Neodiprion lecontei: one gene and its partner. The protein of the gene in region 2 purifies or fractionates together with the protein of the main gene of each other region. This does not show direct contact. Links are inferred from orthologs where the notes say so. Each region holds a gene or a part of one and is shown on either strand. Other genes may lie near its edges.

Region 1 (6,363 bases), on a different chromosome or scaffold from region 2:
AATCATTATACGTTAAACAAAACTCTATTTATCCAATCAATGAAATATTTTGCCAAATTTTATGCTTTTTGTGATATATAGAACTGGATATAATGGATAATTTTTTTTTTTTTTTTTTATAGACCGAAATTTTGTCGCTACAACGGGAAATTTTTCTTTATGGATTATCTCGATGCCCACATTGGACTGAAATGATTTTGTAATTATTCACCAACTATCACTTAACGTCATAATATATTTCTGTATAATACAAATACAGTATTGCTAGATAGAAGTAGCTAATGCGGTAGAGAGACAGGAAATTGTCTTGTAACCGGCATAATATAATATTTGGGAAGCTAAAGTACAAGTTACGGGTAAAGAAGAACTTCCAACACTGCATCTGTTTTATTTCTGTAATACATAGTTGCATTTGAATGACTTATAATTTAACTCTGTTATGTACATGTATGTTCCATTCCTGTACGATTTGGAGCGAATGCTACCGTTTCATATTGCTCCTTGGTAGGGAAGTCCCAGTCTGCACGTTATAAGTTATATTTATTGTTATTATTTGTAGTGAAATAATTATTGAAATGGCATCGTTAAATATGCAACTTGACATATATTATACTATATACGCAATCTTATTTCTATTTCTCAGTTCTATTAATTATGTTAACTAGAGTGTATTATTTTAATATTTATACGTTTATCATACAGAATGGTATGACGAACCTGCTCAATTTCAGCATTCGTATGATGTTATGTAACCAGGTGCCACTTTTACGTATTATATATAAAAAAAAATGCTTGCCTTCGAAACCAGTTTCATTTTCATCAAAATTAAAACCCTTACACGAGTTCTGGGGTAAACTGTATCAGCTTTATGGAGGGACAGATTCTCGTTCGATTAAATACGCGTATTGCTCGATTCCAGCTATCTCTTAGTTTTTCTCATTGGAAAAATAACCGCCGAAAACAAACAAGCTTGAGTCCGCTTTCAGTAAGTATAAACCGATTACGGTGAAAAATATTATATCGTTCTTATATTCTAAGAAGATATTTTTTCGGGCTTTTCTCTACGATAAAATGCGGTTTATGATACAGACTTATGTATCATGCGTCCATATAATAGATGTGATGCACGAGTGGAAGTATTATTTATTAATAATTTTGTCGTACGTGCAGTGCAGGGGACACTTTCTTGCTGCGGAATAAAATGCGTGACCGATTTAACTCTACCTTCTAAAATTGGGCGGTATTAAAATTGGCTAAAACGAGCGGTATGAACTACCGGCGAACAATTTTCATGATCAATTCAGAACTTCAACGTCAGAGAATGATAAATTAGCAACAGGAAGTATTAGATTGACATGAAATAGCGTTAGACTAAGACCGAAAAATATTGTATAGAAGTCAACACCGCATTTTTCTTACGTTGTTCGCATTTATGGGTCACGTAACATTAACTACATGATGTAAGCTGATTACCCAATACTTTTACGGGACAAGCGTAAGAAACCAAAAAAATGTTGGAAGAAAATACGGTATCATGAAAATTCGATTGATTTTTACCGTCGTATCCAGAGAGGAACTACTCTTTGTATGGTGCTTACTTCATTGCTACGAAAAGACGATAAATCTATGCAGGTGAAACCAAGCAAAGTTACATCATGCCTTTAACTTTTTATGATAGCGTGCTGAAAATGAAAGCAAATGATAGTGATCATGAATTTGACTAGGATCAATAATTAATTAGGATTCGACGGAATGAATTTCAAACTTGGCGAATCCTATGAACGCAATGACTGCAGACGTTACATTAAAATTATCGAGAGGGCGCTAGTTCCCGAGACATTTTATCGTGAATCTAACAAGTGTCGGTATTGCAGAATTCTTGACGCGTTAATGGGTAAGCAAATAGTTTTCGTTAGTCAAATTTTTCCCAGATGGCACTGCAGGCAGGAGTGACATGTAACGCCAATGCTAACTCATCGGAACTAGAAGAGCAAAGTTGTATTCTGCTAGCTCGAAATTTATGTAGCACCGTTTTTGTTTTTGTCAGTGTAACACAACCTCAAACGTTGAAAATCTCTAGGATATAGAGAGGTGGTGTGAAGAGTTCCGTACTTGTGCCGGTTCTTAAAATCTTATAATCATCGGGGCTTATGAATTTTTCCGGTAAATCTGCTGAGAAATTTCCGGATATCTGTCACCTGGTAACGAGTGAATTAATTTTTTGAGTCATTCGCCGTACATAATTTACATGATGAATTCTGAGGAACATTTGCTGGACTTGGTGCGACAGGAAATTGTCAATAACAATCTACAAGTGAAAGCTATTATTCAGGTAACTCCATCAGCGTTGAAAAAATTTTACTTGAATTATATGCGAAAATGGTGGAATACGAATTTTGAAGAGCTGGTGGCCGTACTGGTACTTTAAAAAACGGAGAATTTGACGGGTAGGGTAGCACATGTCACAGAACAAGTTTGACTCGTAGACTTGATCGGTACAGAAGTTTCCTATCATTACCGATTTGATCAGCATTGTAATTTCCATTGATAATTCCATGGACGAGTCGGTTATTTTCCACCAAAAACGATAATTGCGAAAGTTATGCGCAATTTAGTTCCATTTCTTTGATACATGTCTACCGATATTGTGTACTTGAGTAAGGATGATTTCTCACCGTACCCTTTTCCAACTTGTTGAAATTGCTTTAACTTTTCTTCAAATGGACAACAAAAATAAGCTGTCGAATTATTTTCCCTCGACTACTAAAATATAAAATGTAAAAAATTTATGCAACTTCTGCATTATGACCAATGCAGATGCAAATTGTTAAAGAGTTGAATAACCGATCAAAATCAATTTTATGTTTTCAAGGAAGGGCTATAACGTATGATATTACATTAATTTGAAGTATTCAAACTAAGATTGGCAAATTTCGACGCCCATTACTTCTCATAGATACATTTGCAGGATGGGCGACCCTCCCCCCCCCCCCCCCCCCCTTAAATTTTTTATTAATATACCGGCCCGTACATCTTACCATACATACATACATACACGTTAACCCGCGTTATCAGGACTGTGCGATTCATCAATTAATTGTAAACTTCGATTATTATCATTTTCTCCATTAATCACTTAATATGCTCTTTCAATTAATTGCTTTATTGATTAATCGTTTCCAGCTTAATCGAATTCTATCCTTATTAAATTATCTATCTAATTAATAATATATTTTGCATGAAACTAATTCAACGTAGTTGATTTAACTATTCATATGTATCCAATCGCAACTACCTGATTTCAGGATATTCAAAATTGCACCGAATCGACAGAGTTATTGAACGAGCTAAATGCAAAAGGCAGAGCAAAAATAGCGGCCCTGCGATCAAGTATTGAGCGTTTGGAGAGCTTAGCGTTCCAAGAACGCAGCGATAAACGGAAATTGGAGATTTATTCAGAAATAGAGAGTCATAAAAGTCAGTTGACTATTACCTTAGCCGCCTTTCGAAACGCTAATGTTGTCAGTGCCTGTGTTATCGACAGAATGGCTAAGGATGAATTATTGGGGATGCCCGACGGACATCAGAGTGCATTACGAAAACGGCGAGATAAACAAGCACTGATAAATATGTCAGGCGGCGTTACCGACAAGTTGTTAGGCATCTCTAGGCATCTGGCGGAAACCACTCAAAAAAGCGCTTACACCTTAGACACCCTAAGTACGTACTTTATACCTTATATTTCACCCCTTATTCTCTGATATACGTTAGTTTTATCACAGGATTCAGTCAGCTTGACAAAAATTTGTAATTAAAAACTTATAACCAACATTTTTTTACCAATATTTTGGATGAGACTCGCAAGGTAAACTAGGTATTCTATACATATATATATATACAATATGTGTATATATATATACACACACGTTAAAATTACTCTGTAATCAGCGCAACATTATTATTTTATTACTGGCATCATTATTTCTTTATAACAATTTCGTAATTGCGTTCGTTGTTCATCAAAAAGATGTTCTGCAATTAAATAATATTTTCAAAAAGCCAATATGTGATCTGAAATTCAAATACAAGAAGCCAATCTAGAAATGGTTTATTGTTGCATTCATTTTCCGTAAGAAATAATTCAGTGCGTATTTTTATTGCATAATCTGATATACATATACAGAGTATTTCCAAGTAAACGGCGGAGTATGTTGAGTTGCTTGTCGCTGAGGGGAACAAATATCGGTACGAGTCATCGGTAGGTAGCACGTTTAAAGTCCTCGCGAGTGAGCTGGAACTGCCCATATTGCCAAGTTGTGTGGATTTGGCCAAGCAGTTGTTCCGTGGTTTGTAACCTATGCCGAAGCGGTCAGTGATCGCCTTCCGAAGCCACGTTAAAGTGATTATATGACTTGATTTGACTAAAGTGATAGCGAGTCGGCAGGTCTGTTTTACCGATATTCGTTCCCCTCGGTAGTAGGCAACCCAACATACTGCACCGTTTACTTGAAAACACCCTGTATATCTGAATAAAATAAGTATTTACTAGATTACCAGACGATGAATAACTTCAACAATGTAATAAATACAATGTATTGAGGAAATCTAAAGTTTCAGCCGACGCTTCAAGCTTTACCGTATCGTCGATCGATACAAAGACCGTTGTATTCAATTTTCCACTTTTGGACTATTATTTGCTCCGTTCCCATCTTTAGAGAACCTTTACGATAGAAAATAGATTGAATTTGCGGTGTAGGAGGTTGACAATTTATTTATTTTCGCAACGGAAACAGTATTCATCAGAAAAATCAACGCAAATAATTTTTGCGTAACGTTAACGTAACGAAATAGTGAAATATGAAAAATTATATTTTGCTTGTTAAAAATTATCTTGTCCCTGTAAGAGGTCGTAGTTGTAAACTGATACGTTTATCTTTAAATTTATGTTATTTATAGTATTGGCCGTATTTTTAATCATTGTAAACTTGCGAAATAAGGATTTTTCGAAAATATTTTTTTGTACTAACGTTACGAACTCGAACCTGTAAAATCACATTTATGTAGGTAAAACGTATAGTGTGGAAATTACTGGTATTTACACATTAGCGTATTAATTACACATTGTCATGTATTTCCTTGCAGTTACGTCGTCGGAGAAAGTGACCGGGACGAAAGATGAGCTTGAACATCAGCAGCAGGTAATTGTGCAGTCTGGAAAGCTCCTGGGAAAATACGGTCGGCGCGAACTTACCGATAAAGCGTTGCTAGTTCTAGCATTTGCATTTTTCTTAGCCTGCGTATTTTACATTCTTCAGAAACGATTGCTCTGATTACACAGCAGAGAAATGCAATAAAGCTCATTGGTTTTTACTTGTAACTGAAACTATATACACCCGGCCTTCTGTAATCCGTGCTCAGAGAACTGAAAAAACTGTATCATTCGAAGCGCTGAATAGTTTTGTGTACAGCTTGTACATTTTCGGGCAAATGTTTTTATCACCGAAACTGACGTAAGTTCGCGATGAGTGCTGTGGTTGTAGGAAAATTGCATATTACGAGTTTGGCGTTGAAGTACTTTAATCAACCAGTTTTACAATCATACTTCAATATTAAAAATAATATTGAAAACGTTTCATAGAATAAAAATTCTGTCACTGAACATTCCAATGCAATTTGCACGTTAACGGAGAAACGTATAATGTACGTGACAGTGCACTGTGGTTAATGTTACAGCATCAATTCTAGTATATTATGTATCTAATATTTATACGTGCAGTATCCAGGTTGTAAACCCGGTGTTAAGTGAATAAATATATTTTATAGCAATCTGCAAACGAGAATCGAGTACATTATTGCATATTAAACAAACGTCTCATCGATGATGTTACCAAAGATCGTCGAAGACCGTCAGCTGCGTGCATATACTTTGGTCCTGAAACGATTATACACGTGAGATAATTGAGTTCGATATAAATGTCGGTGATCCATGGATAGATAATAATACGAGTTTGTTTTTGATTTTGATGGAAAGTTACTGCAACTCTGCTTGTAATAACGTACATTCATACATGACGTCATAAACTCCTCCCGAGATATCACGCCATCCTTGTTCAGATCCATTTTCTCAAAAAGTCTATCAACGTGTCTGTTCACCGCGCGTTGTATAGTTTGACTTGTTCGCACCATCTCGTAAATCGCCGATACTATGAACAACATTTCGTGCCTCGTTATGTGACCATCGCCGTTCATGTCGTACAATCTGTAACGTAAAAAAAATGAACCAACATCGGATCGCAATACCAGTCGTTAAAGAGTCACGCTTAAGCACCCAGCACGTGGTACTCAAAATAAGATTAGTTGAAT
Region 2 (6,289 bases):
TTTGGAGTGCCAACTGCTCCTGCGCAGAGTATGACCCCCTTTGTGGCGAAGGCTTTTAGCTGAGTACCCAGTTTCTCAAATTCAACTCCAACGGCTTTCTTTTCTTTCAATAAAACCTTTAGGAATGAAATTTAAATGATTACATGCGATATCGATGATTAGGATGTTGACATTGAGCAAAATGGCTATCAACTGTTCAAAGATACTTTTTAGTTTGATGTAAATGGTGTCTCATCACCTTATTAACATGAGCATTAGCGATGACAGTTAATTTTTCAATATCCCTGTGTAACAATCTGTCGGTACTCCATCTCTCTCCATCCTTTGAGGTCAATTCCACTTTCATGAATCCTGATTTAAAGATGAAGAAAAAAAAAAGCAACCAGTAAGTAGAATAAGCACCATTTTCTTTTCTGTTTTCTTTAGTATTCAACGGTTCTAACCAATGTTTAGATCTCTGTTTATATTTCCAACGTTTTGTCCCAGTTCTGCAGCTCCGTTCAATATAGCGTCCGACAAATCAGTATACCAATTATCACAATGTACATTCAAAGAACTGGTTTCTTTGTCTACGGACTCTGCGGTGATTGAAAAGTTCATCAGGATTATTTAATTATTTTTCACGTAAAATAAAGTCACAGTGATAAGTTTTTACCCTCAAGATCGGGGCACCAATTAGTGTAATCAGCGATGTGACCACGAACGTAAGCCATATAATTTAGTCTACCCGATCCTCCTAAGATTTTTCCCATCGGCCACTTGCTTTGCTGTAATATAATTCCATGTATCCAATATTTAATTAACAAATATTCTGACAATTCTGAACACGATATTTAAGAATCGAATGATATATAACAAGTAAACCAAGTGTCAGAATAAAGTATTCCGAGGAGAAGAGGAGAAAGAATCAATTGACCACGACTGAAGGAAGAGTACATTATTGATTAGTCCTTTGCAAGCATGTTTTTGTGGAACGGTCACATGCTGCCAGTCAAAGACAGACTGTTGCAATAACGGAGTTAGTACAGGGATATTCAAGAATGGAGGAACTGCACCACCTGCTTCCAATAGCAAAGTTTTCTCCCCAGCTTTGGACAATCTGGCAGCTATTACAGACCCAGCACTGCCAGCACCGACTGAAATGTTTAAAGAATCGTTGGAATAATGCATATGGCAAAAGAACTCGAGCTCTGGGAGGACGGATAATCAAATTGTGATAAATAAAAGAGGAGATATTCTGTGTAAACTAAGAAACTAAATAAATGTTTTCAGAATTCCTTTCTGATTGAAACAGCAGAAAGAAAGAACTTACCGATAACATAATCATAGAGTTTTGAATTCTCCATATCATTGTAGGACCAGTTGAAGTATTTATCATAAATATCTGCAAATTTGAGATAATTTACAAAAAAAAATATCAAAATTCCGTAAATAATAAAAACGGAGTACTTGAGTATGAAAATCATTTCGAAAAAACAAGTGTCAAAACAGTTCAATGCTCTCTCGCCATAAACTGTAAATATATGTTATAATTGGCTCCAATCTTTGCACGCATGTCCTAAAAACTGTCACCGTGAGTGAAATTTTTAAAAGTAAATTTGCATCGCATCATTTAAGGTGCTTAATAAAACTGTATAAAACAATGTGAACTAATCATCGATATTCGACGGATTTGGATGAAGCGCAAAATTTCAAGTTAAATTAGGCATAGGTCGGAATGTAAATTTGGAGGTTAGATTATGTTATGTTAGGTTAGGTTAGGTTAATTACACGTAGAATGAAACTCAAGTTCAGAGGTTAGGTTATGTTAGGTTATGTTTCGCTGATGCGTGAAACGTCAACGAAGCCAATATGTCGAACATACCGTAACTTGGTATTTTCGAAAGCTAAATTATACCGTTTTCAGCCAAAGTTCGAGCTATGATACGTGATAATAATTGGGATAAGAATCATGGATCCAATCAAGGTCAAAGTCATACAAGAATTCAACGCCGAATTGGGTTCGGATTTAAAAAACCTTGGAAAAATTCCTCAACTACACGAGCGGTTACAACACGAGAGAAATAACATCGAAAAATCGGTGAGTCAAAATTGAGTATCTTACTTCAATATTCATTCACGAAATCATTCAAAAAATAATCATTCAACAGAAAATGCTACATATTTAATTATATCTGATTAATATTCTCATTTATTTTTTTGCCATGTGTAAGCTGTCGCTGGCATCAACGGAGGCTCCGTCAAAGGTTAAAGCAGCTATAGAAGGAGTTGATAAGATAAACAATGAAATAGAAGAATTGGTAAAAATCAGCAATGATTTGGAACAAGTTCTCATTGAACAGCTTCAGCAGGATTCCAAAATTGATGGGATTCGAGAAAATGTTGATAAAATAGAAGAGCTACAAAGAGCGTTGTCGTACTTGTACTTGGTCAAATCCATCGAGGATATATGGTACAAAACAATACTTTAGCTTTAACACTCTGACTCGATGAGAAAATACTCGACGTTCGATAAACTAATACAACTTTTCCAAATTCTTGTACTTTATACAGTCGACTAACTGAAAAAATCATTGATTTTACAGTGATGAAATAGAGGGTTCTCTATTAGCAAAGGATGACAAGCTGACGATAACTCTGTACGCTAACTTGACGGAAAGAAATTCACAATTACAATCGTCCACTTGTCATCATCTTGTAACTTATCTACACGACACTCTCCACTTTTGGCATAATTATCTCAAAGATAAATTTACAGCGTAAGTACAGGCGAGCTATTGTTTGAATAAACAGCACGAATACCTATTATTATTAAATGTTTACCTTGGTCAAAAAAATCGAGGCAAAATCATCATCGATTATTCGATCAAGGTAACACAGCTCCCTGGTATTTACTTTTCTACAATCCTTGAAATTTTACAGAGAATACAACGAAATTCTGAAGGCACTGAAATGGCCATTTTGTGGCAGCAATTTGAATTTGTCGACTACTCCTTCGCTAGATGCAATGGCAAGGTTCAGCACAGTTACGGAATACTTGCTGCAACTGCAGCTACCGTATCCTTTGCATCAAGAATTAATTGATGTAGCTCGAAATCATGTAACTTCCCTATGAACTCTGAAATTGATCCTTAACTCAGATTGACGGATAGAGAAGAAACAGCGAAACCTGCGGTTACCTCGTCGCTTCTAACCGATTTTATACCAGTGAGCTTGCCAATCTTACTGCTGATTCGTCCCCTTAGACGTAGATTCATATACCATTTCACAGGTGCAAAACAAACTAACCGTTTGGACAAACCTGAGTGGTTTTTCACTCAGATACTTACATGGATCAGAGATCACACCGAATGGGTGAGGATGAATGTTCAACCAATCGCAAATTCTTTGGGACTTGATCACATCAATGCTAAGGTATTTAGAAGTTCGCTTCAAATGTGTTTAAATAACAAAACAAAGGCTAGATTCTCGTGAGAAAAAAAACTCACAGTTAATTTTCTCTTTGTTCCATTTTCATAAATAATTTATCCAGGTCGAATTCATGCGAGGGCTGGTCCAACTTGCTGTGGAAAAGTTATATTCCGAATTACCCAACATGCAGTACGACGATGCTCTCTTCGCACATCTAATCGACGAGGCTCTAGGCTTTGAAAGAGAGTTAAGAGACACGTTGTTATATCCAGCTAGTCAACCAGCCACCGTTTTTGTACTAACTCAAGCACAGATTTTTGTCAAATGGGTTAATATGGAGAAGAAATGTAAGCATTTCTCTAGCGACAATGAGCAATATTTTTCTACTCTTAGACGTTTTTATATTCCATGGAGTATGTAAAACGAATTCTTAATGTACTATTATTTGAATCAGGGTAACTTTCGTGTAAACGAATCGACTTGCAAGATGTCTAAAGTGTGTTAAAAATTAAATATTACGTATATTGTGACTTGAATATTATATTGCAGATGCAACGGAAAAAATGGACGCTATTTTGAGCTCTGAGACCGCATGGGAAAGATTAATGGGTACAGATATAGACGACATGAAAGTAACGGAGTGTGCGGAAGCTTTTCTCACTCTTCTAATGACTATCACTGATAGATATAGTCATCTGCCACAACCTGGTCACAGGTGAGTCATAAATATCAACTTTCTTGCTTTGTTACATCCTCCTTAACAATCCATCAATTTTTTCACCCAATAGGTTACAATTTCTCGAACTACAGCTAGAACTGGTGGACGATTGGCGTGTTCGATTGCTGCAATTGCTGCACGAGGATTATGAAGATCCGCTGACTTCTATCATGCCTCGAATTTTGAATACACTGCACTATGTATCTAGTGTTCTCAAAGAATGGGGTGCCACTGTTGTAAGTGAAGAAGTGAAAAGCAACAAGCGGTGCAAGAACAGACAAGTAAAATACCTTGAGTTTTGTTTTTCTGTTCTCAGCACTTCTTGCAGCTTCACTATTTCAAAAAACAATCAGATGTAACAGAATTGTCTGTAGAGAAATTGGCTGAAACTTCTGAAAATCCTGGGGACGAAGATGATTCTGTATTCGACGAAGCTCTCGCATTACTACAAAGGTTGGAACGCGAGTTGGTGAACGAAATAAGCAACTCTGTGGCACTGGATGTGAAAGCTAAAAGCAGACCGTACAGAACTGACAAGTAATATCAAATACATCAACTTGCAACAATAAAAGTTTTTGACCCTGAATATCTAATCCTAGTTACTGATTGTAGATGGTTTGCAATGCAATCAGAAAAAGAATTGGCGTCGTTATCCGTAACCCCGAGTGGTTGTCCCATGTTTCAAGAGCTGGCTGCTCGTCTTAACACACTTCAAGACATTCTTGCACTACCGTTGTTTAACAAGACTTGGAAGAATCTTGCGGCGCAACTCGATCAAGTAGGTTACAAACCTAGCTTATTATGCTACATTGTGCACGATTTTTCTATAAGATGACAAAATTGATTAACGTAATCGACATTTTCTTTCTTCAGTATTTGCTAGAGGAGATTGCTGTGGTCAATCAATTCAACTCTGGGGGAGCTGCTCAATTACAATATGATATTGTCAGAAATCTCCTTCCGCTCTTTGGTTTGTATACAAACAAGCCAGAAGCTTACTTTCCGCTGTAAGTATACTCAAACCATCAATAGTTATGTCCGGAAACCAAAACAGTAGATTGTAGTAATGATGTACGTGCTAACGACCCGAATAGCCTAATAATCTTAATCCCCATGAAATACTGAAAGTGCGAGCTACATAGTCTGTAATCGCCAAGGTAGAGATTCTTATTTTGAAACTTATTCTTAACTTGAACTTTTTTCAAACATCAATCTTTGATCTATTAATCTATTATTTGCGCTAGTATTATTCTGTGATTGTATTAATTTATGAATATTGCACAGGATCAAGGAGGCCACGATTCTTTTAAACATGGCTTTAGGTTCAGCGATGCTCTTGTTAGAAGCATTGGAGGGTAACGAAGATACAGCTGAAGTACTAGCGGATGTTGGAATTTATAAAATGACAGAAGACATAGCAATAACAGTACTACGAAACAGAACTGATATAAGTTCGCAATAACTAACGAAATGGAGAAAATAAATTTTCCACTGTAAATAGATAAAGAAAAATAAGCTTAGCCTAGATATTCTCACACCTTGGGTATACAATAATATAATTGCGATTTAACTTGAAAATTTTTCTTTTATATATGAATATTAAACATTAAAAAAATAAAACAAGTTCTGCGTAGATACATTTTTTTTTCTTTCTATTATTAAATAATACAATTATCCATAAGTAAACGTATTCAAACAATAGTACGACTTCGGACCACACGACAATCAAGCTTTCTCTCTGTCATTCGAATAGCAAGTCGTATGCCGCAAATTTAATCAATATGTTCGCAAGATTCCAAATCAAAAACGACTCTCACGCATATGGAATCAACTAATAGTAAAATTGCACTCTAATATCTAAAATATAGAGTAATGCAATTTTTTTTGCGAATTCATAATACATTGTCTTGATTTTAAACTAAATATTTGCAGTCTTTTCTAAACTATCAGAACACTTCATACCATCAATAAAAAGGCAGAGAATAATTTTGGCATGTGGTGTTTTTTAAGTACGAACAATTGTGTAAACAAATTTTTAGCAGATAAGTTTCGTCAGTCACAGTCAACCACATCACTCTTTTTTCCCTTGTAGCAGCGTAATTTTTTAAAATAACTAGGAAACGCTGGATCATCCCGTTGTCTTTTTGTAGGTTCGTTAAG

The links.
Region 1: the proteins of RAD50-interacting protein 1 (region 2) and vesicle transport protein SEC20 purify together in Homo sapiens (co-immunoprecipitation; 3 studies listed by BioGRID and IntAct, counting the BioPlex papers as one, with this or other methods). This does not show direct contact. The link is inferred for Neodiprion lecontei from reciprocal best matches to the Homo sapiens genes RINT1 and BNIP1.

Annotation. Positions count from the first base shown.
Region 1 is NC_060260.1:13,380,313-13,386,675, reverse strand, and holds vesicle transport protein SEC20, read left to right. Parts: upstream 1-1,985; 5' UTR 1,986-2,248; coding exon 2,249-2,332; intron 2,333-3,305; coding exon 3,306-3,720; intron 3,721-5,142; coding exon 5,143-5,330; 3' UTR 5,331-5,834; downstream 5,835-6,363. Other genes in the region: Kv channel-interacting protein 4, read right to left, coding at 5,885-5,932, 6,061-6,259. UniProt on the Homo sapiens protein: As part of a SNARE complex may be involved in endoplasmic reticulum membranes fusion and be required for the maintenance of endoplasmic reticulum organization. Also plays a role in apoptosis.
Region 2 is NC_060264.1:28,622,712-28,629,000, reverse strand, and holds RAD50-interacting protein 1, read left to right. Parts: upstream 1-1,587; 5' UTR 1,588-1,731; intron 1,732-1,814; exon of another isoform or gene 1,815-1,906; 5' UTR 1,907-1,951; coding exon 1,952-2,080; intron 2,081-2,213; coding exon 2,214-2,452; intron 2,453-2,585; coding exon 2,586-2,759; intron 2,760-2,922; coding exon 2,923-3,057; intron 3,058-3,152; coding exon 3,153-3,414; intron 3,415-3,532; coding exon 3,533-3,758; intron 3,759-3,960; coding exon 3,961-4,126; intron 4,127-4,199; coding exon 4,200-4,365; intron 4,366-4,445; coding exon 4,446-4,666; intron 4,667-4,741; coding exon 4,742-4,907; intron 4,908-5,002; coding exon 5,003-5,136; intron 5,137-5,413; coding exon 5,414-5,591; 3' UTR 5,592-5,762; downstream 5,763-6,289. Other genes in the region: glucose dehydrogenase [FAD, quinone]-like, read right to left, coding at 1-116, 239-351, 444-578, 656-767, 937-1,136, 1,313-1,384. UniProt on the Homo sapiens protein: Involved in regulation of membrane traffic between the Golgi and the endoplasmic reticulum (ER); the function is proposed to depend on its association in the NRZ complex which is believed to play a role in SNARE assembly at the ER.